Elephas maximus indicus: one gene and its partners. The protein of the gene in region 1 purifies or fractionates together with the protein of each later gene. This does not show direct contact. Links are inferred from orthologs where the notes say so. Each region holds a gene or a part of one and is shown in the gene's direction. Other genes may lie near its edges. The genes, in order: IRAK1, PELI3, TOLLIP and STIP1.

Region 1 (7,934 bases):
GCTGGAACCCACAGAGAGTCTCGACTTCTCCCTCCCCTGCCAGTGAGCTGGGCGTGGTGATCAGCATGGGGAGTCAGGGGACGGAGGGGAGATGGGAAGGCCAGGAAGGGCCCCAGGGACTCCAGAACCCCATGCGTCCGGTGTGCCCCCACCAGGAGTTGGAGAAGACTCCAGAACCACCCCTTTCTTCTCCCGTAGCCTACCAGTAAATTGCATTTGCTTTTGTAATTCTTAATGAGCAATATCTGCTAGAGAGTTTAGCTGTAACGGTTCTTTTTGATCCTTTTTTAATTAAAAACACCAAAAAAAAAAAAAAAACTAGAAACTTGTTCTTCCAAAGCAGAGAGCATTATAATCACCAGGGCCAAAAGCTTCCATCCCTGCGCCATTGCTGCTTCTGAGGCCCGCGTTCACAAGAGGAATGGGTCTCTGGCCCTTTGGGTGGCTGGGCTGCCCTCAGGACCCTCGAGAGAAAGCTGGGTGGGAGGTACTCACCCTGAAGCTGGTGTTCAGTATTAGCAGTGGGCCGGGTGGGGGAGAGTCGGCCAGGAGACCACTGGCGCTGATGTCCTGCCACTCCCAGGTGGGTGTCCCCATGTGTAAATGCACGTGATTTCTGACCAGAAGTGAAGGCAATGCCGGAGTTAGCCCGCGTGGGCTGCTAGCCCTGCCGGCCGGTGAGGCCCCCTGTTCAGTGCTTCTGTGGAGGACGATGGGTGCAGAAAGGGTCACAGAACTTGAAGCCTGCTCCTTCCCTTGCTACCAAGGCCGCCTTTTTCTGTTTGAGTTTATTCCTGCTTCAATCAATAACAGCCGCTCCAGAGTCAGTAGTTGATGAATATATGACCAAATATGACCAGGACTGTTACTAACTACGTGCCGGCCCGAGTATCCGGACACTGTAGCGCGTGCTGTGTTTGCGCTCCTTTCTCCTTCCTGCCCTGCCCTTGCCTTGTCTTTCTGGGGGGTTTCTGTTTGGGTTTGGTTTGGATTTGATTTTTCCTTTTGTGTTCCAAACATGAGACACTCTCTACTGGTCCTCTTAACTGTGGTGTTGAGGCTTATATTTGTGTAGTTTTTGGTGGGTGAAAGGAACTTTGCTAAGTAAATCTCTTACGTGTTTGAACTGAAGTCTGTATTGTAACCATGTTTAAAGTAATTGTTCCAGAGACACCATTTCTTTACAAATGAACAAAAATTGGAGGGAGGAGGCCGGTGACTGAAATGAGAGGGGCTACCTCTTCCCCCGTTCCGGGGAAATCTGAAGAGATGGCCCCCTGCCCAGGTCAGCCACAACCCCCCCAAAAGACAAAAAGACAAAAGAGAGTCCGGTTCTGGCTGACACGTGGCCATCCTCTAAGAGCAAAACCCCTTTCATACCACCCAGTGGATTCTTTTGGCTTCACCCCACCCCCACCCCAAGATTACTCACATCAGAGTTATTTTTAAGGAAAGACAAGGTGGCATTTGCGAGGGTAGCCAGGAGAGGACTGGATGTGTGCAGCTGCCTTCGCTTAAGTGGGGAGGGAGGGTGGATGGCCTAAGTGGTGGGGCCGGGAGGTCCTCGGAGGGGTCTGGCCCAGCTGGCGCTGGGAGGTGAGTGCTCCCCGCCAGAAGCAGCTCCTCCTGAACAGGCCTGGCGTTTGGATGATCCTCTCCAAGGCGGGTCCCGCGGAAGTTACCATTAAAGACACAGCATCCCCTCCCACCCCATTCATATGCACAACACCAATGTGATGTCCCAGGGCAGTAAGTTGACTTGGGAGGGGGCTCTCTGATCCCTGGCAAAATGTGGCATTGAGAAACCCCCTTCCCTTCCCTCAGAGAAGCTGTCACCCAGCATTAGACATTGTTTGGGGTTCATGGGACACATCTCTGCTCCGTGTCCGGCAGCCCTCCTTGGAAAGGCCAGGGACAGTGCCGGTCGTGGTGGCCACTTGCACGGGGAGGGAGGGGCAGTAGCTACAAAAACCAGGTGGGGGAGGGCTGCCCTCCGGAGGCGCAGTTACACTCCCTGTCCCAGCCTGGAGGCCAGTGACACGGGCCACCCAGCCCGGAAGCCTGTCCGAGGATGGGGGAAGTGTGGAGGGTAGGGAGAGCCTGGGGCAGACTCAGCCTTGATGGCATTAACCTTCGGGTTTTGTGTTTCGGGACAATTACTTTAGAAAATAAGTAGGTCGTTTTAAAAACAAAAAAAATATTGATTGCTTTTTTGTAGTGTTAAAAAAAAAAAAGGGTTCTTTGTGTATAGCCAAATGACTGAAAGCACTGATATATTTAAAAACAAAAGGCAATTTATTAAGGAAATTTGTACCATTTCAGTAAACCTGTCTGAATGTACCTGTATACGTTGAAAAACACCCCCACGGAATCCCTGTAACCTATTTATTATATAAAGAGTTTGCCTTATAAATTTACATAAAAATGTCCGTTTGTGTCTTTTGTTGTAAAACCCAGTGATTTTTCATAAGGTTCTTTTACTATTCGAAAAGATGGGCAGCACGCAGTTTTATTTTATTTTTGTAAGGTTTTTAATACATGTGAAGCAAAGAATACTCAGCATGCCTTTCTAAGTGACGCGTTTGCACCTTTTGTTGGGAAGTACTGTATCCTGTGCTGTTAGCATTCTCGATAAATCTCTCTGTGAAAGTGACTCAAGGTCTGGGCTTTCATTGTCAGAAGTCCCCCTCCCAGGTCACACGGGTTTCCTGACCGTCTCTGGCTTGCCCTTGCCACAGATGGACGGGGTTGAGGCCTGGCAGAGCAGAAAGAAGGGATGCGCTCTTCGTCTGCGGAGGCCACCTCTTTGGGGTGCTCCAAGTCCTGAGGACAATGGGGAACCCCAGAAGGGCCGGCCAGGTCTGCCCTGCCTCCATCTCTTCCAGTCCTTCTAATCACAGCACAGGGACTGGGGGCGGGAGGGTCTGCGTGTCCCTGCCAGGGGCGGGGAGCATCTGGGTGCTTTTGGACCCCTTCTCCCAGCTCTGGCTCTTCCTGTCTCGAACGTCAGTTGTGACCTCTGCATTGGCCTTGGCTGCCTGATGACCAGGCCGCTTGACCCAGCAAGGGCATGCTGACAGATTGCCCTAAGGGGGCCCTGTGGGCCACAAGAGCCTGGTTCCCCAGGAGCGGAAGGGGTTTATAGGCCTGTCCCCCCATCCTCTCTGGTTCCCAGTCAGGGTATGGGCTCTCGGTAGCTGTTTGCCCTGGCTCCAGACTGAGGACGCTGCAGATGCTGGACGCACACGTACTGGAAGGTACACTCAAGTCCTGGCCCTGAATGGAAACTGAAAGGGAGGGGGACAAGATCCCACTCGTAGGCATCTGGACTGTTCTAGGAGCTGACAGCCTGCATGAGCAAGGAGGCCCCAGGCCCTGCTCCCCTGAAGCTTAGCATGTGTGTGGTCATCTCAGATGGTAGGGTGTGTCTCAGGAAGGGCTGTCTCCTGAGAAGTCCTGTGGAAGAAGCTCAGTGGGGATAGATTTCAGGCCCTGTGGGAGGATCTGGCTTCTGGAAGCAGCCCTAAGTCCCTGGGAACACAAGCTGGGGATGCTCCTTTGGGGTCAGGATTGAGAGGGGCCAGGAAGCTGGCGGAGAAGACTTATTGGCAGCTGGAGAAGCCAACTGAAGAAGGAACAGTCCTGCTCCTGGGGACTCCCCGTCTAGTGGGGTGGTGGCCCTGTGGTGAGCAGGATGCACAAGAAGTAAAAGGTGCCGGGTGGACTGCAGTCAGCTCTGTCTGCCGAGGGACCGGAAAAGGTTCGCCACAGCTGTTGGACAAGGAGAATGTTCCAGGCCAATCCAGTGGCATGTGCAAACTCCAGGACACAGAAAACCCTGCATGTACATTTTTGGAACCCTGCAGAGTTCTGAATTGCTTAAGGCTGCTGCTCTGTGGAGAGAGTTAGAAATGAGAGGATGGGCAGGGGCCACATCGTGACAGCCATGTGTGCTGCAAAAAGGAACTGGGACCCCATCAGAGGGCTCCAGGACCCCGGGAAGAGTGTAAGCAGGGAAGGTAATAAAGCAGGCGGGGGCCAGTGGGGAAGGGCTGAGCCCCAGAGATGATCAGGGGACGATGGGAAGATAGTGGCTGCTGAGGTGTGGGGTAGAGGAGTGGAGGGGTGGCCCAAGAATCCAAGGAAATCAGGGTGGAGAACATTTTGAGAGTGGGCAAGAGACACAAACGTGGCTAAAGAAGTCAAACTAGCTGAGCAGAGTTCGAGGTGGTGACTGGGGGAAGCCAGACCCTGCTGTCCTGCCCCAGGGGAAGTGAGAACTGCCTGAGAAGTGTGACAGCAAAACGGAGGAGAGACAGCAGGAGGTGAAGGTGATGCGGGGAGGCACCAAGATCGGTTTTTCGGTCAGAAGAGACTTAGGTGTATGTGCTCATTGGAGGGAGCCAGTAGAGAAGGAAAGTAGAGGAGCTAACACTTGGTGGAGCAGGTTTGAAGGAGAGAAGATGGAGCCAGGGCGCCCTCCCTGACTGGAGTCAGCCAAGGGGGGCCTTTGTGGAACACCTAACTGACCCTGTCCTGCCCAGAACTCTGATGACTAGCCACTGCCTACCACTTAAAGACCAAACATCTTAACGGGACCTCCAAATGGCTCTCTCATGGTCCGGCTGTAGCCACCTGGAAGCACTCTCCCATTCTGAAACATACTGTGCCTTCGCCGTGCCCTGTGCTTCTGGTGCCCGAAGCGCTCGTCCTCGTCCCTCAGCGCCCCACTTAGCAGGCCGCTCCTCTTGGAGGCCCGCCCGGTTGGGCGAGGTGCAGGTCCGACTTCCCGGGCTCGCGGGAGCAGGGGCTGCGGCCGGGCGCGGGCGCCCCCTTGTGGCCAAGGCTTGCGCGGCGGCGGCCGAGATGGCGGCGGGGCCCGGGCACCGCCCCTTCCGTCCCGCCGGGCGTCGCACGAGGCGACTTAAAGGGGAAGTGAGTCAGTGTCCGTCGACCCGGCCGGCCGAGGCCCGCGCCCGCCGAGGCCCCAGAGGCCCCGGCCCGGCGGCGGCGGCGCTAGGCGGGCCATGGCCGGGGGCCCGGGCCCGGGGGACCCCGCGGCCCCCGGCGCCCAGCACTTCTTGTACGAGGTGCCGCCCTGGGTCATGTGCCGCTTCTACAAGGTGATGGACGCCCTGGAGCCTGCCGACTGGTGCCAGTTCGGTGGGTGGCGGCGGACGCGGGCCGGGGCGGGGGGCGGGGGGTCCCCGGGTCGCCGCTGCCCGCCTGACGCCCCCTGCCCCGCAGCGGCCCTGATCGTACGCGACCAGACCGAGCTTCGGCTCTGCGAGCGCTCGGGACAGCGCACGGCCAGCGTCCTGTGGCCCTGGATCAATCGCAACGCCCGCGTGGCCGACCTCGTGCGCATCCTCACGCACCTGCAGCTCCTCCGCGCTCGGGACATCATCACGGCCTGTGAGTGCCCGCTGGCCGCCGGGGGCCGGGGGCCGGGGGTCGGGGGCCGGGGGCCGGGGGCCGGGGGCCGGGGGCCGAGGGCCGAGGCGCCACTCACCCTCTCCCTTTCCTCCGCCGTGCACAGGGCATCCTCCTGCCCCTCTCCCGCCCCCCACCGCCACCACCCCGCCCCTGGGGCCCAGCAGCATCTCTGTCCCCTCTGAGGCCAAGGCCAGGAGCCCCAGGAAGTCGCAGTCCTCAGCCTCCACCCTCCTCTCCCCAGGTAAGAGCCGGGGCTGCTGGACAAGATGGGTTTGGGGAAGAGGCACCTTGACCGTGGTCTCTCACTTTAACAGGTTCCCAGACCCATCCTGGGCCCCACCTCGGCCCCACCGCACACCCTGCCGTCCCCCGACCAGCACTGCCAACTCCAGCCCCTTGCTCCACCGAGGTGGGTGCCCCTTGCCTCAGGCAAGATTCCAGGCACAGAGGAAGAAAGCGGAGCCAGCAGCCAGCTGGGAGGCAGCTGGGGTGGATTTGGGGACCTGGCTGCCCAGGGCAGAGGGGAGGAGACCCAGACACAGGAGCCCACCTGCTGGGGTCTTGTCCCACAGCAGAGCCCAGAGAGCCCACTGGCTTTCCTGCAGGGGGCCCACCCTGCCCCGTTCTGCTGGCCCCTCCCTGAGATTGCCCAGGGCACCCGCAACTTCTCCGAGGAGCTCAAGATCGGTGAGGGTGGTTTTGGCTGCGTGTACCGGGCGGTGATGAGGAACACGGTGTATGCTGTGAAGAGGCTGAAGGAGGTGGGTGTGTCCTCCGGCGAAGGCGCCAGTTCAGGGTCCCAGGCTGCTGGGTTGCAGAAAGTCCGGGAAAGGTGGCAGTGGGAGTGGTGGGGTGGCCATGGTGAGCAGAGCCTCTCCCCTCCCCTCCCCTCCTCACCGGGGCTGCAGGACGCCGATCTGGAGTGGAACGCTGTGAAGCAGAGCTTCCTGACTGAGGTGGAGCAGCTGTCCCGGTGAGCTTCCCCCTACCAAAATGCTTCCAGGGCTGTGCCTGGCTCTCTGGGCCCCCGCCATGGCCAGGGGGAAAGTGTGGTGAAGCCTGAGGCGAGACACGTAGCCCTCCCTTTGTCAAGCAGGTTTCGTCACCCAAACATTGTGGACTTTGCCGGCTACTGTGCTCAGAGCGGCTTCTACTGCCTAGTCTACGGCTTCCTGCCCAATGGTTCCCTGGAAGACCGCCTCCACTTCCAGGTAGCCCCACCTGACCTGGCACAGGTCCCTGGGCCTGTGGCACACGGGGTCCTGGGGAGAACTGGGCATACAGCCTTGGGCTCAGTATTTGTGAACGAGTCTCACCAGTGGGCAGGGCCCGGGCTCCCGGCTCTCCCTGCAGCCCCTAGCTTAGGGCTCCTCCCGAGGTTGGGTGGCCATTTTCTATGGGTCTCTTTTTTTTTTTTTTTTTTATAATAACTTTTATTAAGCTTCAAGTGAACGTTTACAAATCCAATCAGTCTGTCACATATAAGTTTACATACATCTCACTCCCTACTCCCACTTACTCTCCCCGTCTTGAGTCAGCCCTTTCAGTCTCTCCTTTCTTGACAATTTTGCCGGCTTCCCTCTCTCTCTATCCTCCCATCCCCCCTCCAGACAAGAGTTGCCAACACAATCTCAAGTGTACACCTGATATAATTAGCTCACTCTTCATCAGCGTCTCTCTCCCACCCGCTGACCAGTCCCTTTCATGTCTGATGAGTTGTCTTCAGGGATGGTTCCTGTCCTGTGTCAACAGAAGGTCTGGAGAGCATGGCCGCTGGGATTCCTCCAGTCTCAGTCAGACCATTAAGTTTGGTCTTCTTATGAGAATTTGGGGTCTGCATCCCACTGCTCTCCTGCTCCCTCAGGGGTCCTCTGCTGAGCTCCCTGTCAGGGCAGTCATCGATTGTGGCCGGGCACCAACTAGTTCTTCTGGTCTCAGGATGATGTAGGTCTCTTGTTCATGTGGCCCTTTCTGTCTCTTGGGCTCCTAGTTGTCGCGTGACCTTGGTGTTCTTCATTTTCCTTTGCTCCAGGTGGGTTGAGACCAATTGCTGCATCTTAGATGGCTGCTTGTTAGCATTTAAGACCCCAGACGCCACATTTCAAAGTGGGATGCAGAATGATTTCATAATAGAATTATTTTGCCAATTGACTTAGAAGTCCCCGCAAACCATGTTCCCCAGACCCCCGCGCTTGCTCCGCTGAGCTTTGAAGCATTCATTTTATCCCGGAAACTTCTTTGCTTTTGGTCCAGTCCAATTGAGCTGACCTTCCATGTATTGAGTGTTGTCTTTCCCTTCACCTAAAGCAGTTCTTATCTACTGATTAATCAATAAAAAAAACCCTCTCCCACCCTCCCTCCCTCCCCCCCCGTAACCACAAAAGTATGTGTTCTTCTCAGGTTTACTATTTCTCAAGATCTTATAATAGTGGTCTTATACAGTATTTGTCCTTTTGCCTCTGACTCATTTCGCTCAGCATAATGCCTTCCAGGTTCCT
Region 2 (7,156 bases), on another chromosome or scaffold:
AGATCCATGTGACATCCGCAACGATATCCCTTGTTCCACGTCCTCTTCTGAATCTGGGTTGAATTTCTGGCAGTTCCCTGTCGATGTACTGCTGCAGCAAATTTTGGATGATATTCTGAAAAATTTTAGTTGTGTGTGATATTAATGATATTGTTTGATAACTTCCACATTCAGTTGGATCACCTTTCTTGGGAATAGGCATACACATGGATGTCTTCCAGTTGGATGGCCAGGTAGCTGTCTTCCAAATTTCTTGGCATAGAGGAATGAGCACTTCCAGTGCTGCATCCATTTGTTGAAACATCTCAACTGATATTCCATTAACTCCCGGAGCCTTGTTTTTTACCAATGTTTTCAGTGCAGCTTTGACTTCTTCCTTCAGTACCATCGGTTCTTGATCATATGCTACCTTCTGAAATGGTTGAACATCGACCAATTCTTTTTGGTGTAGTGACTCTGTATATTCCTTCTATCTTCTTTTGATGTTTCCTGCATCATTTAATAGTTTCGCTACAGAATTCTTCAGTATTGCAACTGGAGGCTTGAATTTTTTCCTCAGTTCTTTCAGCTTGAGAAACGCCGAGCGTGTTCTTCCCTTTTGGTTTTCCATCTCCAGCTCTTTGCACGTGTCGTCATAATACTTTACTTTGTCTTCTCGAGCTGACCTTTGAAATCTTCTGTTCTACTCTTTTACTTCATCATTTCTTCCTTTTAGCTACTCAGTGTTCAAGAGCAAGTTTCAGAGTCTCTTCTGAGGTTCATTTTGTTTTTTTCTTTCTTTCCTTTTTAATGACTTTTTGCTTTCTTCGTGTATGATGTCTCGATGTCATTCCACAACTCATCTGGTCTTCAGTCGTCAGTGTTCAATGCGACCAATCTATTCTTGAGATGACGTCTAAATTCAGGTGGTATATACTTACGGTCATACTTAGGCTCTCGCGGACTTGTTCTAGTTTTCTTCAGTTTCAACTTGAACTTGCACATGAGCAATTGATGGTCCGTTCTGCAGTTAGCCCCTCGCCTTGTTCTGAATGACAATATTGAGCTTTTCCATCATTTGTTTCTGCAGATGTAGTTGATTTGGTTCCTGTGTACCCTGTCAGGTGAGGTCCACGTGTATAGTCGCCGTTTATGTTGTTGAAAAGAGGTATTTGCAATGAAGAAGTTGTTGGTCTTGCAAAATTCTATCACGTGATCTCTAGTATTTCTATCACCATGGCCATATTTTCCAACTCCCATCCTTCTTCGTTTCCAACTTTCATATTCCAATCACTAGTAATTATCAATGCATCTTGATGGTATGTTCGATCAATTTCAGACTGTAGAAGTTGTATAAATCTTCAATTTCTTCATCTTTGGCCTTAGTGGTTGATGCGTAAATTTGAATAATATCCGTATGAACTGGTCTTCCTTGTAGGCGTATGGATATTATCCTATCATTGACAGCATTGTACTTCAGGATAGATCTTGAAATGTTCTTTTTGATGATGAATTCAACACCATTCCTCTTCAAGTTGTCATTCCTGGCATAGTAGACCATATGATTGTCCAATTCAAAATGACCAATACCAGTCCATTTCAGTTCACTAATGCCTACAATATCAATGTTTGTGAGTTCCGTTTTATTTCTGACAATTTCCAATTTCCCAAGATTCATAGTTTGTACATACTATGTTCCTGTTATTAGTGGATGTTTGCAGCTGTTTCTTCTTATTTTGATTCATGCCACATCAGCAAATGAAGGTCCCGAAAGCTTGACTCCATCCATGTCCTTAAGGTCAACTCTACTTTGAAGAGGTAGCTCTTCCCTAGTCGTATCCTGAGTGCCTTCCAATCTGAGGGGTTCATCTTCCGGCTTTATATCAGACAATGCTCTGCCACTACTCGTAAGGTTTTCACTGGCTAATTCTTTTCAGAAGTAGGTCGCCAGGTCCTTCTTCCTAGTCTGTCTTAGTCTGGAAGCTCAGCTGAAACCTGTCCACCATGGGTGACCCTGCTGGTATTTGAATGCCAGTGGCATAGCTTCCAGCATCACAGCAACACCGAACTGCCACAGTATGACAAACTGTCATTTTACAAATAATGAAACTGAGGCCTGGAGAAATTAAGAAGCTGGAGTTCTTGGGACAGAACACTGGCTTCAGGAACCAGGGCTGGAACCTGTGTTCTGTGCCTGACGGTTGTTGTTAGGTGCCATCAGGTCGATTCCAACTCATAGCGACCCCATGTACAACAGAACAAAACACTGCCTGGTCCTGTTCCATCCTCACGATCATTGTTACACTTGAGCCCTTTGTTGCAGCCACTGTATCAATCCATCTCCTTGAAAGTCTTCCTCTTTTTCGCTAACACTCTACTTTACCAAGCATGATGTCCTTCTCCAGGGACTGGTCCCTCCTGACAACATGTCCAAAGTATGTAAGAAAAAAGTCTCTTTGTCCTTGCTTCTAATGAGCATTCTGGCTGTACTTCTTCCAAGACAGATTTGTTAGTTTTTATGGCAAAAAGCATAAACAACTCACTGCCATACAGTCGACCCTATAGGACAGAGTAGAACCGCATAGAGTTTCCAAGGAGCACCTGGTGGATAGGAAATGCCTCAACCTTTTGGTTAGCAGCCGTAGCTGTTAACCATTATGGTTTAACCAGGGTTTCCAGTTTTTGCCGCAGTCCATGGTATAGTCAATATTCTTAGGCAATACATAATTCAAAGGCATCAATTCTTCTTTGGTCTTCCTTATTCATTGTCTAGCTTTCACATGCACATGAGGTGATTGAAAACACCAGAGCTTGGATCCAGGCACCTCAGTCCTTAAAGTGACATCTTTGCTTTTAACACTTTAAAGAGGTCTTTTGCAGCAGATTTGCCCAATACGATATATCATCTGATTTCTTGACTGCCGCTCCCATGGGTGTTGATTGTGAACCAAGTAAAAGGAAATCCTTGACAATTTCAATCTTTTCGCCATTCATCATGTTGCTTACTCGTCCATTTGTGGTGGTGTCCCCATTTTCCTCTCCTCTACACCCCGGAGCTTCACCCCAGGAGAAATCTCTGCCGCCTGAAGCTGGCCCTGGCACTCTTCGACTTTCCCCCTGTTGTCTGGCGATAGCAATGGGGCTCTGGTCAAACCTCAGCTCTATATCTGCCTGGCTGTGTGACCTGGGGCAAGTGTTTCCTCCTCTCTGAGCCTCAGTTTTCTTACCTGTGAACTGGGGATTCTAACAGTCATTCAGCGCACATTCACTGAGGGCCTGTCTATGGCAAGCACTATGTTGTTGGAAGCTGGAGGGACAAAGGGGAGGGAGCCTGTCATAAGGCCCCATGTCGTATGGTGGCTGTGTGTACCCAGCAAGGAGGTGGGCATACTGTAGGCATTCAAGGATGGAAGCTGTCCTGTGGTGCAGGATCTGTAGCCCGGCAGCCTGACCTAGTCAGTGGTGGCCTCTCTGGGAGTTTCTCTTTGATTAATGAATGCCTTTGACCCTAAAGGATGTGCTGTCAACTGTTTTCTTGTTGCAACTGGCTGCTCAGGTCCCAGAACAGTTGGTGGAGCAGTTGGTATATTGGACTATTTTTAGGTGGGGCAGTGAGTGGTGGTGAGTGCATGTGGTGGGCCAGGAAGAGTCTGGCGGGCTATGAGCTTTACATGCAACAAGCTGAGGAGAGGGGATGAGTGCTCCCTCTCAGAAATGTACCCACAAACTCCCACTCATTATTCATGGTCAAAGTCAAAGGCCACCTCCTCTGGGCAGCCTGCCCTGATTTCTGCATATATACACACCCTCCAAAGTAGTATTAATGGGTCCACAGCCTGGACTTCCCCCAGACCGAGGTTATACTTCCCCAGCAGACAAGAGACCCTGAGCTGCAGGGACCGGATCTGATGCATCGCTGGATTTCCCCTGCTCCCCATCTCTGAGGCCCTGTCCAGCCACCCCTAGTTATAACGACAAGGTACAGAAGTTAGGAGGTGAGACTCTAGAGTCACAAAGCTGAGATCCCTTCTGGGCCCCTTCCTAGCGAAGTAACCATGAACGTGTCACTTACGTAGATCTGTTTTCTCATCTGTAAAATAGACGACTACAGGGATTAAACGGTCATTTGCGCGCGCGCGCGCGCGTGTGTGTGTGTGTTGAGGAGAGGGCCCAGCGTGAAGGTGGCGTAGCTGGCTGGAAGACAGCCTGCGGCTCGGCTCCGCCGCACAGTCCCTCCTCGGCTTCCTCTGGTATTTTCCTTCTCCCCTTCCTCCTCTAATTCCGCGGCTTCCCGGAGCCGGGAGGCGGGATCTTGGGGGGAGGCTGGGAGTCCCCGGGACTAAGGCGGCGTAAGGGTCTCCGAGCCAGCGCCGTGGCCCTGGCTACGGTGTGGACGGGGCGCCGGGATCTCTGGAAAACCGAGGAGTCCCCGGAAATGGGGCCGGGGTCCGGGGAGTCCCTGAATTGGGACAAGGGTCTTGGAGCTATGGCAGGGTACCCGAGCCAGCCAGGAGGGGCGAGGGAGTCCCCGAGACAGGGCGGTGGGCGGGGCTTCAAGGGACTCGGGGGGCGGTGCCTGGGGAGGGCGTGGTCTCCGTGAGGGGCGTGGCTCTACCGACCGCGGTTCTGCTTAGCCGCAGGGGCGGAGTCTCCGGCTGGGAGGGGCTCTCCCAGGGGCGGGGCAGACTGGGCGGGGCCTCGCGGCAGTGGGCGGAGTGTGGCGGCTGGCGCTGGCCCCCTCCCGGGCCCCGGGTGTCCCCGTGACGAGGCAGCGCGGAGTCGTGGTGGGCCCGGCCCATCCCGCCGCAGCGGCCCCGGCCGAGCAGGGGTGAGGCGGGGAGGGCACTGCGCGAGCGGAGCCGGAGCGCGGCGAGGTGAGGCGCTGGCGCGGGGGGCGTGTTTGCGGACCAGAGCGGCGGGCGCCGTGGCTAGGGGCGTGCGTGGGTCGGGGGCCCCTAGCCGTCCCGCACTGCCGCCGGTCAGGGTGCGGGTCTAGGCTCGCGGGTGTGTGGCAGGCCCACGGGTGGGTATCTGCGTAGGCGATGGGCCCGCCTGTGCGCCCGGGGCGCTGGGCGCGGGCCTGCCCGGACGACCCCTCCTGCACCGGGCGGTTTCCAAACAGGCTTCCTGAGGGCGAGGCTCTGCTGCAGCCCGAGCCAGAGAGGGGAGCGCCGCCCCACAGGCCCCGGAGCCCCGGCGGCCCGGGGGCCGCAGACAGACACCTGCGGGAGGGAGGGGGCGCCCCCGGGAGGGATTCGGAGGCCTGCCCACAGGACGAAACCAAGATGGGGAGACTGAGGCAGATGGATGGGAAGGAGGAGGCGGGCAGACAGGCAGAGGTGGGGAGGAACGTGGGGAGAGAAACGGTGAGAAGGACAGCGGCTGGGAGGACAGAGAGTCATTGAGAAACAGACAGACGGACAGAGGCCTGGCCCCACAAAGAATCAGAAAGATGAAGACGGACAGATGAATTCCAAGAACCTAACAGAGAGGGGATCTCTGAGGGCCCAGGGCTGAGAGAGCTAAATCCAGGTACTGAGTCTCAGATAAGGGGTAAGGGCCCCCAACACTGGGGTGCCCCTCTTCCAAGCACATCCCAGACTGGTGTCTTAGCCAAAGGCAGCTTCTGGCCAAGTTGATCTATCCCTCTGGCCCTTCCAAGTATCCTCACCCTCTGATGGTGCGACCTCTCCCTGTTGGTTCCAGCCCACCATCTCCCCTCCCTGGTATCCCAGCAACTCTGGCAGTTTAGGAGAGGTAGAGGTAAAGTGGTTGCCATAGCAACAGAGGTGGTGAAAGGTCACTTGGCCTTAGCCTAGATGGCCCTGCAGCAGGCCAGGGCTGAGATCCAGGGAGGCTGGGAGTGGGGGAGAAGGAGCCCTTATGGCGCAGTGGTTAACTGCTTGGCTGCTAACCGAAGCGTCAACGGTTTGAACCCACTAGCTGCTCCACAGGAGAAAGATGTGGCAGTTTGCTTCCGTAAAGATTTACAACCTTGGAAACCCTATGGGGCAAGTTTACTCTGTCCTATAGGGTCGCTATCAGTTGCAATCGACTCCACGGTGACAAGTCTTTGGTGTTGGGGTGGGAGTCTGCAAAGCTTTTTCTCCTCTCCCACCCTGCCCAGAATGGTGCTGGAAGGAAACCCTGAAGTGGGGTCCCCCCAAACCTCAGACCTCCGGCACCCTGGGAGCAAGGGCTCTTGCGTCCTCTCGTCTCCGGGTGAAGATGCGCAGCCAGGCGAGGAGCCCATCAAGTATGGTGAACTCATCGTACTGGGGTGAGCATCCCTGGGTCAGGCAGGGCGGGTCATCAGGCACCCCCAGAGCAGCCAGAAAAAGGACCCCAGGTCTCCCACATAGCTCCCTTCTGCTTTTGGTCCCCCATCATCTTGCCAGATCAAGAGATCCAGTCGACCCAACCCACCTCAATTCATAATTGTTATTTTACCTTCCTACTTTGCATAAATGACTGAGATAATTACTGCACACCCAAGTTTCTGATCAGATGAGAAAAAAAATCACACTGGCTGCCTTTTATGAAGTGCCTACTGTGTATAGTGTGGGGTGAAGAACTCTCATTCTTGAGCAAAATCACTTGGTTCAAATCCTGCCTCTTCAAGCTGCTGAATTTCCCTGTGCCTCGGTTTTCCCATTTGACCAGTAGGGATGATAATAATTCCTATCTCAGAGGGCTCAGAGGGTTGTCGGAAGGAATGAGGTGATTTCTGTAAAGTACGTAGCACAGTGCCTGGCACGTATCAAGGGTTCTGTGAGGCAGGCCTGTGCCAAGCCCTTTCATGGACATTATTTCATTTCAATCTTCACAAAGATGCTGTGAGGAAGGAGGTGAGGAAACCGAGGCTCAGAGAGGGGAAGTGACTGGCCCAAGGGCACACAGCTGGTAAGTGGCAGGGCTGGGATTTGGACCCAGATCTTTCTTAACTCCAGGTCTAGAGCACTTTCACTAAGCCACAGCTGACCCCCATGCTACAGGTGAGAAAACTGAGGCCAGGAGAGAGGAAGTGACGTGAGTTGGTGGCTGGGCAGACCTCCTCCCTGCCCAGTCTTTGCCTGACCCCCAGCACAGGATCCCTGCACCACCCACTTAGCTGTTCCCTCAGCACAGACTCCTCTTCTTCCTCCCCACCCATGTCTCCTTTGGGCCTCTCTGCCAT
Region 3 (7,713 bases), on another chromosome or scaffold:
CTTCAGCAAAACTTTGCTTGTGTGTAATATTAATGATATTGTTCTATAATTTCCTCATTCGGTTGGATCACCTTTTTTGGGAATGGGCATAAATATGGATCTCTTCCAGTCAGTTGGTCAGGAAGCTGTCTTCCATATTTCTTGGCATAGACGAGTGAGCACCTCCAGCGCTGCATCTGTTTGTTGAGACATCTCAATTGATATTCCATCAGTTCCTGGAGCCTTGTTTTTCGCCAATGCCTTCAGAGCAGTTTGGACTTCTTCCTTCAGTACTATCGGTTCCCGATCATATGCTATCTCTTGAAATGGTTGAACATTGACTAATTCTTTTTGGTACAATGACTCTGTGTGTTCCTCCCATCTTCTTTTGATGCTTCCTGGGTCGTTTAATATTTTCCCCATAGAATCCTTCACTATTGCAACTTTAGGCTTGAATTTTTTCTTCAGTTCTTTCAGCCTGTGAATTCCAGGTGTGTTCTTCCCTTTTGGTTTTCCATTTCCAGCTCTTCGCACATGTCATTATAATACTTTACTTTGTCTTCTCGAGCTGCCCTTTGAAATCTTCAGTTCTTTTACTTCATCAATTCTTCCTTTTGCTGTTTTCCTTGCTGCCAGCATTTTTATAGTTGAGATTTTGTCAAATTTGCTGGTGTTTTAGCTATAATATTGTGGTAATTTTAGTATTTGTGAGCCTGTATCAATAACTTTTTTGACAATGAAGTACTAATTTAAAAAAAAAAGGAGTGATACATGGTCTTATGGATTGAATTGTGCTCACCCCAAATGTGTATCAATTTGGCTAGGCGGTGATTCCCAGTATTGTTCGATTGTCCACCATTTTGTCATCTGATGTGATTTTCCTGTGTGTTATAAATCCTACCTCTGTTATGTTACCCAGTGCCGTCGAGTCAGTTATGAGGTAGAATTAGTGGCAGTTATGTTAATGAGGCAGAACTCAGTCTACAAGATGAGGCTGTGTCTTAAACCAATCTCTTTAGAGATATAAAAGAGAGAAGGGAGCAGAGAGACATGGGGACCTCATACCACCAAGAAACAAGAGCCAGGAGAATAGCGTGTCCTCTCAACCCGGCGTCTCTGCACTGAGAAGCTCCTTGACTGGGGAAGATTCATGACAAGGACCTTCCCCCAGAGCCAACAGAGAGAGAAAGCCTTCCCCTGGCACCCTGATTTTGAACTTCTAACCTCCTAAACTGTGAGAATAAATTTCTCTTTGTTAAAGCCATCCACTTGTGGTATTTCTGTTATAGCTGCACCAGATAACAAAGACGTAGGGGAATTACAATTTACAAGTAACATTAGTATAAAAAACATTACCAAGGATTCTGTATGGTCTGGTCCATGTGGGGGGTGGGGTGATATCAACCCTAGTGACACCACTGCTCTATGTGGACCTTAAAGGAATTCCTTATGTCCAGTAGCTTCAGGATCGATACGGCTGAGGTGTTTGGCAGAGAATAAGGGGAACGTGAAATGAATGGTAGCAGAAGGAAGCTTTGGTTATCATCTTGGACCTCATTAACAGGTACAGCAATAGAGAATGTTGCAGCTATATTTTCTGTTTATAATTTTCAATAACAAAACACTCTTGATAACTAATGCTTCAATTTTTACTCCAAGTAGTAATGTGACTTAATTGACATCATCCACAAAAATGTGGTAAAGGATGAGACTGCATTTTTGCTGTGTTGGGAACACCAGATTTTTTCACCAGAAAAAAAAAAAAAAGTGGATGTCCAGGTGCAAAAGAGGTGGACTGTTTTTTTTCCAGTTGCCCCTCCAAATACATTCTCCTGCATGGTATATTGCAAAATTGTATCAATCTTCCCCTCCTATAGAGAGTGAGATGTGCTTTCCCACCCAAGGCCCCAGCTCTCCTCAGGTGGCTCATCACTCTCACTAGACTGATTGTACTAACAACTTCCTTACATCAGCTCTTCAGCCCAAGGGATGGTGCTGTCCACTAGCTGGTTCCTCTGTCTTTTTGTGGCTTGACAGAGCATTTCTTTTTATTGCTGAATTTGTTCCCCTGTTTTTTTATGGATGTATCACAGTTTGTTTATCCATTCACCTACTAAAGGACATCTTGGTTGCTTCCAATTTTTGGCAATTATGAATAAAGCCGCTACAACATTCATGTTCAGGTTTTAATATGGACATACGTTTTCATCTCACTTGGGTAAATACCTAGGAGTGTGATTACTGAATTGAATGGTAAGCCTATGTTTAGCTTTATAAGATACTACCAGACTGTCTTCCAAAGTGGCTGTACCATTTTACATTCCCACTAGCAATGAGATACCTTGTTGGTTGCTTTACCACTATCTGTACTTTTGTACGGAGCCCTGGTGGTGCAGTGGTTAAGAGTTTGGCTGCTAACCAAAAGGTCAGCAGTTCGAATCCACCAGCCGCTCCTTGAAAACCCTATGGGCAGTTCCACTCTGTCCTATAGGGTCCCTATGAGTTGGAATCGACTCAATAGCAATGAGTTTAGTACGTTTGTAAAAAATCTTCATTATTGTGTGCTGTCAATTGAAGCCTTTGAATTATGGCGTTGGCAAAGAATATTGACTATACCATGGAATGCCAGAAGAACGAACAAACCTGGAGTGGGAGAAGTACAACTAGAGTGCTCATTAGAAGCAAGGATGGTGAGACTTTGTCTCATATCCTTTGGACATGTTATCAGGAGGCACCACTCCCTGAGAAGGACATCATGCTTGGTAAAATAGAGGGTCAGTGCAAAAGTGGAAGACCTTCAACGAGATGGGCTGACACAGTTATTGCAACAATGGACTCAAACATAGCGATGACTGAGAGGATGCTGCAGGACCGGGCACTGTTTTCTGTAGTACATAGCGTTGTTATGAATCGGAATCAACTCGATGGCACCTACCAACAACAATCTTTATGGGAGCAGATCATCATGCCTTTTCTCCCATGGAGTGGCTGGTGGGTTAGAACCAAGGACCTTTCAGTTAGCAGCCAAGCACTTAAGCTTCGTGCCACCACGGCTCCAAAATAATCATTAAATGCCTCTAATTATCCTTTTAAGTGTGACATTTGATAGCCTAACCCAGTGTTAATGTGCTGCTGGGCAGCCATTTATACCAGGAGGGCATAGAAAGCATTTCTAGGAGGAAGTGACTGTGTCAATTCTGCTGTAGCTCAAGAAAGATGAGTACTGGCAATTGACCACTAACAACATGGAGATCACTGAACACCTTGACAAGGGTCAAGGGGCTGGGGGCAAAAGCCTGGCTGGAATGGGCTTCAGAGAGAATGTAGGAAGAGAAATTGGAGTCAGAGTATATATATATATATATTTTTTTTTTTTTTTTTCAGAGTATATTTTGAGCCATTTAGCTGTGAAGTGATGGAGAGAAATAGAAGAGCAGTCTCAGGCTCCTTCTCTTGGGAACACCTTCTATCTTGTCCATTTATTTAAGTGGCCCACCCACTTTCCAAAGCCGGCTGAAGTATGTCAGCCCCCATTCCTCTCTCCTTTAGCTTGGCTCCTACAGCTCTTTTTTTTGGGGGGGGGGGTTAAATATTAATACTCCTCCACCCAGACACAGCAGCCTCAAAGTAAATGGAGTGCTTGAGATGATGTCTTTCTGAATCGCCATCTGTTTTGTTCTCAGCCCACTAAGCACCACAGTTCTCCCTTCTCCAAGAAGGATCACACGCCTGCTGGTGGTGGTTCTAGCCACATGTGAGGACCCTCCGCTGCTGTCTTTCGCTTTGGGCTCCTGCCCAAGTGGGAGAATTTTCCCCGTAATGACTGGCACTTCTGACCACCTCCGGCTGGCTTGCTGTTCCTGCGACTCAGCGATTCCTCAATGGGAGCAGTCCCCTCTGGAGGCCTTTGGGCCCCTCAGCCCTGCAGTCCTGCTGACCCCCACCGCCCCTGCCGCCAGGTTCCCGGCTGACAGGACTCCCCGTGTGGGCCACCCCTCGTCACTCCATCGTGTTTCCTGTCCGCCCTCCAGGTCAGGGCCGGTTCGCCCTCAGGGCCGGGCCACCCTCAGGACCGGTTCACCCTCCGGGTCAGGGCCGGTTCGCCCTCCGGGTCAGGGCCGGTTCGCCCTCAGGGCCGGGCCACCCTCAGGAAGGGTTCACTCTCCGGGTCAGGGCCGGTTCGCCCTCAGGGCCGGGCCACCCTCAGGACCGGTTCACCCTCCGGGTCAGGGCCGGTTCGCCCTCAGGGCCGGGCCACCCTCAGGACCGATTCACCCTCCGGGTCAGGGCCGGTTCGCCCTCAGGGCCGGTCCACAGGGGTCGCCTCGAGGGGTACGCTGCCGCTCGGCGGCTCTTGGCGCCTGCAGGGCCACGCGGGACGACGGCAGGCCCCTCGGCTGTTCAGTCCTGTCAGCAGACGGGAGAGGCCCCGCCCGGGTAGGGTCAGGCGGAGCGGGTCCTTTGCCCGCCGCGGGAGAGCCTGTGAGACGCCACTGGCGCGGGTGGCGCGCCCAGGCTTGGGCATGCGCGCACGGCCGCGACGGGAGCCATTTCGCGGAGCCGGCCGGCCGGAGGAGACGGCGACTGCGCAGGCGCCCGCCGAGGCCCGGCCCACGCGGAGCTGGGAGCGCGGGTCGGACAGGCGGCCGGAAGGGGCGAGGCGGGCGCGGCGCCTGCGCAGTGGGGGCGCGGCCGGGCGCGTGCGCGGTGCGGCGGCGGCGGCGGGGGCGGGCCGCCGTCAGCTGACTGGGGCTGCGGTCTCGCGGTGACAACCGTCGGCTTCGCAGGCTCCGGCGGGGGCGGCAGGGTCGCCGGCGGGTCCGCTCTGGGGTCGGCGAGGCGCGGAGCCGCCCGCAGCGCCATGGCGACCACCGTCAGCACGCAGCGCGGCCCGGTGAGGTCTCCCGGCGGGGGCGGCGGGGCGCGGGCCCCTCTCCTCAGCGGCGACGGGCGCTCCTCAGGCGCCCCTTCCCCCGCGCAGAGCGGCGGCCTCCGGTTGGCGGCCCCCCCCAAGAGCTCCGTTTCCTCCGTTGCAGATGGGAGGGTGGGAACCGAGCGCCGCGAAGGGGCGCCCTGCTCCTGAGGGGGGGCGTCTTCCCCGCCGCGGTGTTGGTGACGTCGCTGGAGGGCTGGCGCCGACCGACCGACCGACCGACCGACCGGGACGCCCTGGGGGTGAATGGCCGGCGGCGGCCGCCTCCCGCCGGGTTAGGCCGGTCCTCTGAGGCCCGGGTTGTGACGGCCACGCTGGCGAGCGCTGACGAGACAGCGGAGCAGAACTGCCGTGGGGGTCGCGTTTGGTCCTTGTAGGTCGTGGTTGTGCCGCTTCACTCGGAAGGTCCAGGGCTGGGCGGGGGCCGAGGAGCTTCGCGGGAGCCGGGGTTGTCCGGGCGCCCACCCTTGAAGCTGGACATTGGTTAAAGAACCCTTTTCGTGTAGCGTTTTTTCCCAGTTGGGAAGGAAGACGCAGGCGTGTTAGAAGCCCGTCTTGGGGCACAGGGCCTTTTTAAAGTGGGAAAGTAAGCTGCCTGGCGGACATCGTACCGAACCGGGCGTGGGGCGGTTCCAGAGGCAGCAGGGGCATCTGTGGCTTGCTTCTGATTGTCAGTGTTGCCATCTCTTTGTCTTCAGCCAGGACAGGGAATTCCAGGGGGATGGCCGGTTGCAGTTTTCTCATTTTTCGTAACTGCCTGGTAGAGAAGCAAGGGAACCATGACTTTTAAATTAAGGCTCCCATCTTTGTGTCCTCGAGAGCTGTGTGTGTAATGGTTGAGCAGGGCTTCTGGGGCTGCTCGGCCAGTTCCTTGCCCTGTCACTTTCTTGCTTGTCTCATACACCTGGGACGTGTTCTCAGCCTCCCGGGGACTCATTTCCCTTGTCTGGAGCAGTAGGACCTACCTCACGTGGTGGGGTGAGGGCTGACTCATTGTACCTGTTTACACTCCCGGGAACTTATCTCCCTTGTTTGGAACCTTACTGACCTCAGTCCCAAGGCCCCTTGCCACCGTCACCAGCCCGTCTTCCACCCAGGTTCTCGGGCTGACAGCACTTCTGGTCAGTCCTTAGAGCTCCTCTCATGGGTGTGGAGCTGGCCCCCTTCCCGCTGGGCTGAGCTTAAACAGGCACAATGCCTAGCTCAGTGCCTGGCATAAATTGAGCTGTTCCTGTCGCCGAGGTGATTGGAAACAGTCATTAAGCTCTGTGACTACATGAAACTGAGATAAGCTACGTTCTGTAATGAGTAATTGGGGGCTTCAGAGAAGATTCAGGTATGTAGGACATGTGACATCAAGGTAGTGACGCTTTTGTCTGATGTCTTTCCACAGTGCTTCTGGGGCTAGTGTCTGTGTGTAACACGGTTGTGTAGATTGATGTCCGTACACTGGTGCACAGGCTGGTGTCTTTGTGTGGCACAGTCCTGTAGATTGATGTCTGTACGTTGGTGCACAGGCTGGTGTCTGTGTGTGACAGTCGTGTAGATTGATGTCTGTACGTTGGTGCACAGGCTGGCGTCTGTGTGTGACACAGTCGTGTAGATTGATGTCCGTGTGTTGGTGCACAGGCTGGCGTCTGTGTGTGACACAGTCCTGTAGATTGATGTCCGTGCGTTGGCTCACAGGCTGGTGTCTGTGTGTGACACAGTCATGTAGATTGATGTCTGTGTGTTGGTGCACAGGCTGGTGTCTGTGTGTGACACAGTCATGTAGATTGATGTCTGTACGTTGGTGCACAGGCTGGTGTCTGTGTGTGATGCAGTCATGTAGATTGATGTCCGTGTGCTGGTGCACAGGCTGGTGTCTGTGTGTGACGCAGTCATGTAGATTGATGTCCGTGTGCTGGCGCACAGGCTGGTGTCTGCGTGTGACACAGTCCTGTAGATTGATGTCCGTGAGTTGGCGCACAGGCTGGTGTCTGTGTGTGACACAGTCCTGTAGATTGATGTCCGTGCGTTGGCGCACAGCCTGGTGTCTGTGTGTGACGCAGTCATGTAGATTGATATCTGTGTGTTGGTGCACAGGCTGGTGTCTGTGTGTGACACAGTCCTGTAGATTGATGTCCGTGTGCTGGTGCACAGGCTGGTGTCTGTGTGTGACGCAGTCATGTAGACTGATGTCTGTGTGTTGGTGCACAGGCTGGTGTCTGTGTTTGACGCAGTCATGTAGACTGATGTCCGTGCGTTGGCGCACAGGCTGGTTTCTGTGTGTGACGCAGTCATGTAGATTGATGTCCGTGTGTTGGTGCACAGGCTGGTGTCTGTGTGTGATGCAGTCATGTAGATTGATGTCCATGTGTTGGTGCACAGGCTGGTGTCTGTGTGATGCAGTCATATAGATTGATGTTGGTACACAGGCTGGTGTCTGTGTGTGACACAGTCCTGTAGATTGATGTCCATGTGTTGGCGCACAGGCTGTTGTCTTTGTGTGACACAGTCATGTAGATTGATGTCTGTACGTTGGTGCACAGGCTGGTGTCTGTGTGACGCAGTCATGTAGATTGATGTCTGTACGTTGGCGCACAGGCTGGTGTCTGTGTGACGCAGTCATGTAGATTGATGTCTGTACGTTGGTGCACAGGCTGGTGTCTGTGTATGGCACAGTTCTGTAGATTGATGTCCGTGAGTTGGCGCACAGGCTGGTGTCTGCGTGTGACACAGTCCTGTAGATTGATGTCCGTGTGTTGGTGCACAGGCTGGTGTCTGTGTGTGACACAGTTGCGTGGGTTGATGGTCATCCG
Region 4 (7,090 bases), on another chromosome or scaffold:
GCTGTCTTGTTCACTGCTACAGCCCCTGCACCCGGAACATTGGCTGCACACAGTAGGACTTTAAAAAATGTGTGAGAAAGGAGGCTGGACCCACCAAGGGAGGAATGGGAAAGAAGCTGGAGATAAGACGTGGGGGAGATGACAGACAGCCTTGAAAGTCAACCAGAGATGGAAGAGCTGGTCTGGGGGGTGGCAGTGGAATTGACAAGAGTGTGGCAGTCTGGAGACACTGCCAAGAAGAAATAAAGGTCTTGCTGATAGACCTCATCGAGTAGATGAATAAGAGAAAAGGCCAAAAGCGTCGGAGTTACCCTTGAGTACTTCTCCGTGCTCTGTGCCAAATCCTGTTGGCTCCTCCTTCAAAATGCACCTGAATCCAACTCTCCTCACCTCTCTCTGCTCGCCCTGGCTCACCGCCCTCAGGGCCCTCCTGGATTATCGCAACAGCTTCTAAGGGGGGCCTTCTGCGTTCGCCCTTGCCATCTTCACCAGTTCCCCACACAGCACCAGAGGGATAGTGACAAACTAAGTTAGAGCATGTCACTCTTCTGCTCAAAACCTGCCAACATGTTCCCATCTCTCTGGGAGTCAGAACCAAAGTGAATGGTCTCATGTCCTGCTCCCTCTCTGCCCTGTTCTCCCAGTCCTTCGAGACTCCCACCTCAGGGCCTTTGCACCTGCTGTTCCCTTGGCTTGCAAGGTTCTTCTCAATTCTCCACAAATCTCACTCCCTTACATCTACAATACTAGCTTCTCCTTGAGGTTTGCCCTGTCCCCTCTATTGAAAATGCAAGACCATCCCCCCTACCCAGGCTTCCTTTAACCCCTTCTCAGCTCTGTCTTTCTCCATAGCACTTACGCAAACATACTATACACTTGAGTTTATTCTCCCCCACTAGAATAACGACTAGAAAAACAATGATTTTTATCTGTTTCGTTTACTGCTTTTTCTCCAGTGCCCAGGATTATACCTGCCACATGATAAGGTGTTCTGTTACATTTGATGTATGCATGGATCACACCTCAGCATAAAGAGAACAAAAATCCTCACAACTAGACAATAAGCAATATCACGATAACCGGAGAAAAGACTGAAGCTGTCAAGGATTTCATTTTACTTGAATCACAATCAACGCCCGTGGAAGCAGCAGTCAAGAAATCAGACAACATATTGCATTGGGTAAATCTGCCGCAAAAGACCTCTTTAAAGTGTTAAAACCAAAGAGGTCACGTTGAAGACTAAGGTGCGCCTGGCCCAAGCCATGGTGTGTTTAGTCGCCTCATATGCATGCGAAAGCTGGACGATGAATAAGATCGAAAAAGAATTATGGTGTTGCCAAAGAATACCAAATACACCACGGATTGCCAAAAGAACGAACAAATCTGTCTGGGAAGAAGTACAACCAGAATGCTCCTTAGAAGTAATGATGGCGAGACTCCGTCTCACATACTTTGAACATGTTATCAAGAGGGATCGGTCCCTGGAGAAGGACATCATGCTTGGTGGAGGGTCAGAGAAAAGAGGAAGACCCTTAACAAGATAGACTGACACCATGGCTGCAACAATGGACTCAAGCACAACGATGATTGTGAGGATGGCACAGGAGTGGGCGGTGTTTCGTTCTGTTGTACAGGGAGTTCCTATGAGTCGGAAACCACCCGATGGCACCTAACGTTATATTTGACAGATCAACGTGGTGGTTCAGTGGCAGGATTCTAGATTTTCATGCTGGAAACTCAGATTTGATTCCTAGCAGTGTGCCTCATGCACACCCATGACCCATCTGAGGCTTGTGTGTTGCTCTGATGCTGAACAGGTTTCAGCAGAGCCATCAGACTAGGACGGTCTCAGAAGAAAGGCCTAGCAAACTATTTTTTGAAAACCAGCCAATAAAAACAGTCCGATCCACAACCAATCATGGGGACGGCGAAGGGTCAGTTTTGTTCAGTCCATTGTATACGGGGTTGCAATAAGTCAGGGGCCAACTCAATGGCAGCTAACTACATGCCAGACACTGTGTGAGGTACCAGGAGCAGGACAATAAAGGAAAACAGACATAGGCTCTGTCCTCATAGCCCTTAGAGGAAAGTGAGATGCTGATACCAAAGCCACTGGTTTAACTGGTGACTGGACATGGGCATGGCCCACAGTGTTATGAAAGCAAATCACAAGTGAGTGGAGCTTACATCGTGTGCTTGTTGGGGACACGTTATCAAGGAACCCTGACAGCTCATCTTAGCCTGAAAGATGGGACATTAATCTGGCAGAGGCAGTGGAAGAGTGAGCACAGCAGGGGCAACAGCTTGTCAGGAGGCCCAGAGTGAAGGAGTCGGCCTAGTTCAAGGAACAGATGTCAGTGTGGCTGGAGTTCAGTGCTGAAAGTAGAAAGAAACCAAAAAAAAAAAAAAAAAATTGCCATCAAATTGATTCTGACTGATGGTGACCATGTGTTTCAAAGCAGAACTGTGCTCCACTGGGGTTTCGATGGCTGTGACCTTTAGTGTTGTTTTTTGAACTTTTAGAATGTAGATCACCCGGGCTTTCTTCCAAGGCAGCAGTGTAGATTATAACTACAAACCTTTTGGATAGTAGCCAAGTGCTCAACTTTCTACACCACCCAGACTCCCAAGATGAAAAGTAGGAGGACTGCCACCTTAGATGGGCCCTGAACCCCATCCTAAAGACTCCAAGAGTTTTAAGCGAGGGAGAAGGGTTACCAGATATGCCAGTCTGCCGTCACTTTGGTTGCAGAGTTGAGAATGGATCAGACACAGGCTGGGGAGGAAGAGGAGGCTGTGGAGTCAAAGTATTAGTATAGGCCAGGCACTTGAAGCCCTAGGAAGACACTGTGTTACCCAAGAAGGGGAAGAATGAGGACACAGTAGGTTCACGACCCTCAGCAAGCCCCATCCAGACCCCAGACATGTGGCTCTTTTGTTCCATTCATTGACCCTGGAAACAGCATTTTAATCCCAACGATTTAGTATGGGTCCTGCAGGCCCATCGCGCCCCCTAAGCCCTCTCGCCTCTCTCAGGGTGCCTGCCCTTCTTACCCCTCGCATTTGGGGCTGGCATTGAAGTCCCTACTAGGTGGTCAAGTACCTCATTCAGGTCTTTGCTTCCTTCCCCCCTTTACGTCAGAATAACGAAGACAGCTCCCTTTCAGTAAGTGCTAGCCGATGCAAAATGCCTTCGTGCACGCGGCCTCCTGAACCCCTAGGTTAGCAAACCTTTGACCCGAGAGTCTCATGGAGACCGGCTGGCCAGCTGTCCCGCCAGCGTGAGTGCCCCGACCGGTCCAACTCGAGTCCCAGCGCTCGCCACCGCCACGCGGCATCCCTAACAGGCCGAAAGCTCGGGAAGGCCGGCGCCCAAGGGAAGGGAGCGCCTCCCCTTCTCCCGTGACCAACGCGGACAGTCACGCCGCCGGCTGAGACCCCCACGGCCGACGCACGGGAGGAAGGCTGAGGCCTCTGCTGCCGGGAGGAGCAAAACGACCGGCCGGAACTCGCAGCAGGGCCAGGCGTGAAAGGGCCTTGAGCTCCGGCTGCGCCGGCTGCCACACACCCGCAACCAACCCGGCACCAGCAGCAGAGGGCGACTGCGGCTGCAACCTCCGACAAACCACGGGCGGGGCGAAACCAGGCCACGGCTCTTTGACGGACAGCAATTTAACCCTATCAGCGCAAGGTGTTTGGCAAGTCTCCGCCCAGTTGAAATTTTATTCTGGAGACGATTGCGCCAAGAGCTCCGTCAGCCCAATGGGAGAGGTGGAAATTTCCAGAAAGAACTGAACCAATGGGTGCGGCTAGCGAAGCCGTGATTGACGGAGCAAGTGACTAATCGTTGTAGCAGAAGCCCGCCACTCCCACCAATCATGGAACATGAGGTAGGCGGGGCTTGCTAGGGATAGCCCAATCCCGAGAAGCGGGGGGGCAGGGCTGAGGGGATTACTCTCCGCTACCCAATGAGAGTGAAGAGAAGATGATAGGCTAGGACTTAAACCAATAGTAGAGGAGCACAGAGAGCCTCCAGGAGGAGCTCGACCAGTCAGCAGGAGAGGACGGGGCGGGCGCGGGGGGTCCCGGCAGCTTCTAGTAGGTTCCAGAAGGAGGCGCGTGCGGTTGGGAACGCGGATCCGACGAGTTCGATTCAACGGGGTTCCGGACCAGGCTATGGAGCAGGTGAAGGGGGAGGGGTAGGCTGGAGCACCGGGGCGGCTCCGGGACAGGGCGGGCCGGGCCGCGGCCGCAGGAGGAGAGCGAGGCGGGTGCCCGACTGGGAGGCCGGGGCGAGCGAGCATCGGCGGGGAGGCGAGGGTATGAGGGCCGCGGCCGGCGGGTGGGAGGTGAAGAGTGCAGCGAGGCCCGGGCCGTCGGACCGCGCAGAGCTGGGACCGCGCGTGGCCTCCCGCTCCGGCGACGAGGGCCAGGGGAGGCAGCGGCTCCGCGTAAGGCCGGCCCGCAGCGGTAAGAGGGGCCGCGGCCGGGCCCCGAGGCCTCCCGGGGGGTGGCTCCAGGGAGAGCGGGGGGCATGGTGCCTGCACCCTGGGGGGGGTACGGAGGCGGCGAGGGGCCAGAGGAGTGGCCGGAGTGATCAGAGTCCTTGTCGGGGAAATTCGCAATTCGGGCGATCGGAGATGGCTTGCGGGAATGCCACCCCGGACTTGGCCACAATGAACTTGGAAGAATCCGAGCGGTGGGACAGAAAAACAGCGGATGTAGCGGCGGGACTTAGTGGCCTGGGACCCAGTCGGGTGAAAAACTACTTTTCTGTGTCTGAGATCGGGTGGCGTAGCGCTGAGGGCAGGACGAGCGGCGGGCCGTGTCGGTGGAATCAATCCCGGCATGACCGGTGTTTCACAGCTGTGTGTCCGGCCCCTCTTCCCTCTTCCCTTATTTTATTATTATTTTTTGGGGAGGGGATTTTAGAGTGAGTGAGGTCGGACACTTCAGAGAGGTCGGTTTCTCATTACTCTAGGAGGAATTTCTTCCTATAGGAGAGTGAGACTATAGATGAAGTAAAGAATTCATCTTTGCTTTTTATTTTGGGGGGCCAAGCTTGAAGCTGCTGTTGTTGCTGGTTACCTTCCCTGACTTGGTTGTGTGTCCTCAGTGGCCTGTAGGTCGTGAAAGGCTTAGGGTTTGTTCGATTGGAAGTTGTCTTTAACAGCCGTAAGGATTGAAAAGAAAAGAAAAAAAAGGAACACTGGGCTGACTCGTTTTTTTGGCTGATGTACAAGGTGAACTTTTTGCTCTAATGTAGGGATTACTGTTCTAGCCAAACCTGGAGCTGCTTTGCTAATTTAAAGAGAAAAACGAGGGTGGGAATGGAGAGGTTAAGAAACTTTTTGCTCCGTGTGTCTGGAATTAAGTAGGCTGTAGTATAGGCAAGAAAGACTTGAAATAAACGCGTTGCTGTGTTAAATTTAGGAAAGGGGCTGTTCCCACTGTAACGAAAATAGTAGAAAGAGATCACACCGCCCATTATAGGAATGTGTGCACTGGCAGGCTGAAAATGGATGTGTAAACTCAAACAGCAAATTTGTATGGCAGATGTATCTATATAATAACTAGCCATTTTAATTCCAGGTGTGTCAGAGCTTATTGTCTTCAACCTGTTTCTCAAAACAAACACGTCTCTGTTTTTTGTTTCCGTTTTCAACTCTGAGATCCATATTTCGGTTTTAGGCAAGGTTCAAATTGGACAAATTTGAATGTCGCCTAATACTGGAAAATTGGACAGATTCGAATGTCCAAATTGGATTTTTTTGTGTCTCCCAAATCCTTTCTCTGTCTGATCTGAAACAGACACACAACCATATGCCACATTAAAGAGATTGGTATTTATGTATCTTGTGCTTAAGGTGTTAGTGGTTTCTATTTCAAGTCCTAAAATGCTGGTCATGACCTACGAAGTTTATTTTCTGACCCACTGCAGGTCACCACTCAGTTTGAAAAATGCAGTTCTGTAGGATAGAGGGGGGTCCCTGGTGACACACTGGTTAGGTGCTCAGGTGCTAACGGCAGGTCAACAGTTTGACCCCACTGGCTGCTCCTCGGGAGAAAGATGTGGCAGCCTGCTTCTGTAAACATAGTCTTTTGGAAACCAAATGGGGCAGTTCTGCCCTGTCCTGTAGGGTTGCTGTGTGTTGGAATCAGCTTTTTGGCAGTGGGTTTGGGTTTTTGTTTTTTGTTGTGTTTTTTTTTATATGTATATATATATAAGATAGCAAGGACTTGAAGCTGTTCTTCAGCTGTCTTTTGATACCAGTTGAGTTTTGTAACTTTTTGATCTCTGACCTCCATCCTGGGCTTTAAGGTTTTCATTCTCTCTCTAAATTTGGCAGTTTCTTTCTCCCTTTCCTCTCTGAGATTTCTGGTTGGTGGAGGTTCCCAATTGGTGTGCCTTGGGGTTCCAGAATCGTTTCTTTTAACCACATTTATTTGGTCATAGGTGGGTGATAGATACATTCTATGATCTCACTGAATGTTTACATTTTAAGGAGCCTTTGAGATGTTCCTCCTCCCTCAGGTAGGCTGCTTCAGGGCACCTGACCTTTTGGGAGAGGGGCTGAGGTCCCCTTCACTTTATTTTGCCCCTTGGTTTCCTGCTGAGCCAAGTCTGCATGTTTGAGAGGACAGGAGACTAAGCTCTCACCTCCATGGTAACATACTAATTTTAAAGTGTGGTAAGACAGGGACGATTTTAGGGGCCTATCTTTCCTTTAAGGGACCATGTTGGCACCATGGTAAAGCACTTGGCTGCTAAGCAAAAAGTCAGCCGTTCAAACCCACCAGCTTCTCTGCTGGAGAAAGATGTGGCCGTCTGCTTCTCTAAACATTATAGTTTTGGAAATCTTTGGGTTAGTTCTATTCTGTCCTATAGGGTCTGTATGAGTCAGAGTTGACTAGATGGGAATGGGTTTTGTTTGGTTTTTTTTTTTTTTTTTAGTTTTCCATTAAGGAACAGAACCTTAATCTACCACGTGGTGACATATCGCCACATGGGTACTTGGGGAAAGGTAAAGGTTCTTCTCTGATAGGAGGAAACAGCAGGTGGGCCATGGGTAAGCATCTGCACTGAGGA

The links.
Region 2: the proteins of IRAK1 (region 1) and PELI3 purify together in Homo sapiens (affinity purification with western blotting; 7 studies listed by BioGRID and IntAct, with this or other methods). This does not show direct contact. The link is inferred for Elephas maximus indicus from reciprocal best matches to the Homo sapiens genes IRAK1 and PELI3.
Region 3: the proteins of IRAK1 (region 1) and TOLLIP purify together in Homo sapiens (affinity purification with western blotting; 11 studies listed by BioGRID and IntAct, with this or other methods). This does not show direct contact. The link is inferred for Elephas maximus indicus from reciprocal best matches to the Homo sapiens genes IRAK1 and TOLLIP.
Region 4: the proteins of IRAK1 (region 1) and STIP1 purify together in Homo sapiens (affinity purification with mass spectrometry; 3 studies listed by BioGRID and IntAct, with this or other methods). This does not show direct contact. The link is inferred for Elephas maximus indicus from reciprocal best matches to the Homo sapiens genes IRAK1 and STIP1.

The regions. Positions count from the first base shown.
Region 1 is NC_064846.1:2,291,200-2,299,133, forward strand, and holds the start of IRAK1 (interleukin-1 receptor-associated kinase 1), read left to right. Parts: upstream 1-4,929; 5' UTR 4,930-5,027; coding exon 5,028-5,163; intron 5,164-5,247; coding exon 5,248-5,415; intron 5,416-5,539; coding exon 5,540-5,677; intron 5,678-5,750; coding exon 5,751-5,845; intron 5,846-6,008; coding exon 6,009-6,197; intron 6,198-6,344; coding exon 6,345-6,409; intron 6,410-6,532; coding exon 6,533-6,647; intron 6,648-7,934.
Region 2 is NC_064825.1:129,581,480-129,588,635, forward strand, and holds the start of PELI3 (E3 ubiquitin-protein ligase pellino homolog 3), read left to right. Parts: upstream 1-4,141; 5' UTR 4,142-4,229; intron 4,230-4,671; exon of another isoform or gene 4,672-4,853; intron 4,854-6,106; 5' UTR 6,107-6,107; coding exon 6,108-6,259; intron 6,260-6,810; coding exon 6,811-6,882; intron 6,883-7,156. UniProt on the Homo sapiens protein: E3 ubiquitin ligase catalyzing the covalent attachment of ubiquitin moieties onto substrate proteins. Involved in the TLR and IL-1 signaling pathways via interaction with the complex containing IRAK kinases and TRAF6.
Region 3 is NC_064825.1:136,634,839-136,642,551, forward strand, and holds the start of TOLLIP (toll-interacting protein), read left to right. Parts: upstream 1-4,702; 5' UTR 4,703-4,840; coding exon 4,841-4,873; intron 4,874-7,713. UniProt on the Homo sapiens protein: Component of the signaling pathway of IL-1 and Toll-like receptors. Inhibits cell activation by microbial products. Recruits IRAK1 to the IL-1 receptor complex. Inhibits IRAK1 phosphorylation and kinase activity.
Region 4 is NC_064825.1:127,373,043-127,380,132, forward strand, and holds the start of STIP1 (stress-induced-phosphoprotein 1), read left to right. Parts: upstream 1-4,078; 5' UTR 4,079-4,176; coding exon 4,177-4,185; intron 4,186-7,090. UniProt on the Homo sapiens protein: Acts as a co-chaperone for HSP90AA1. Mediates the association of the molecular chaperones HSPA8/HSC70 and HSP90.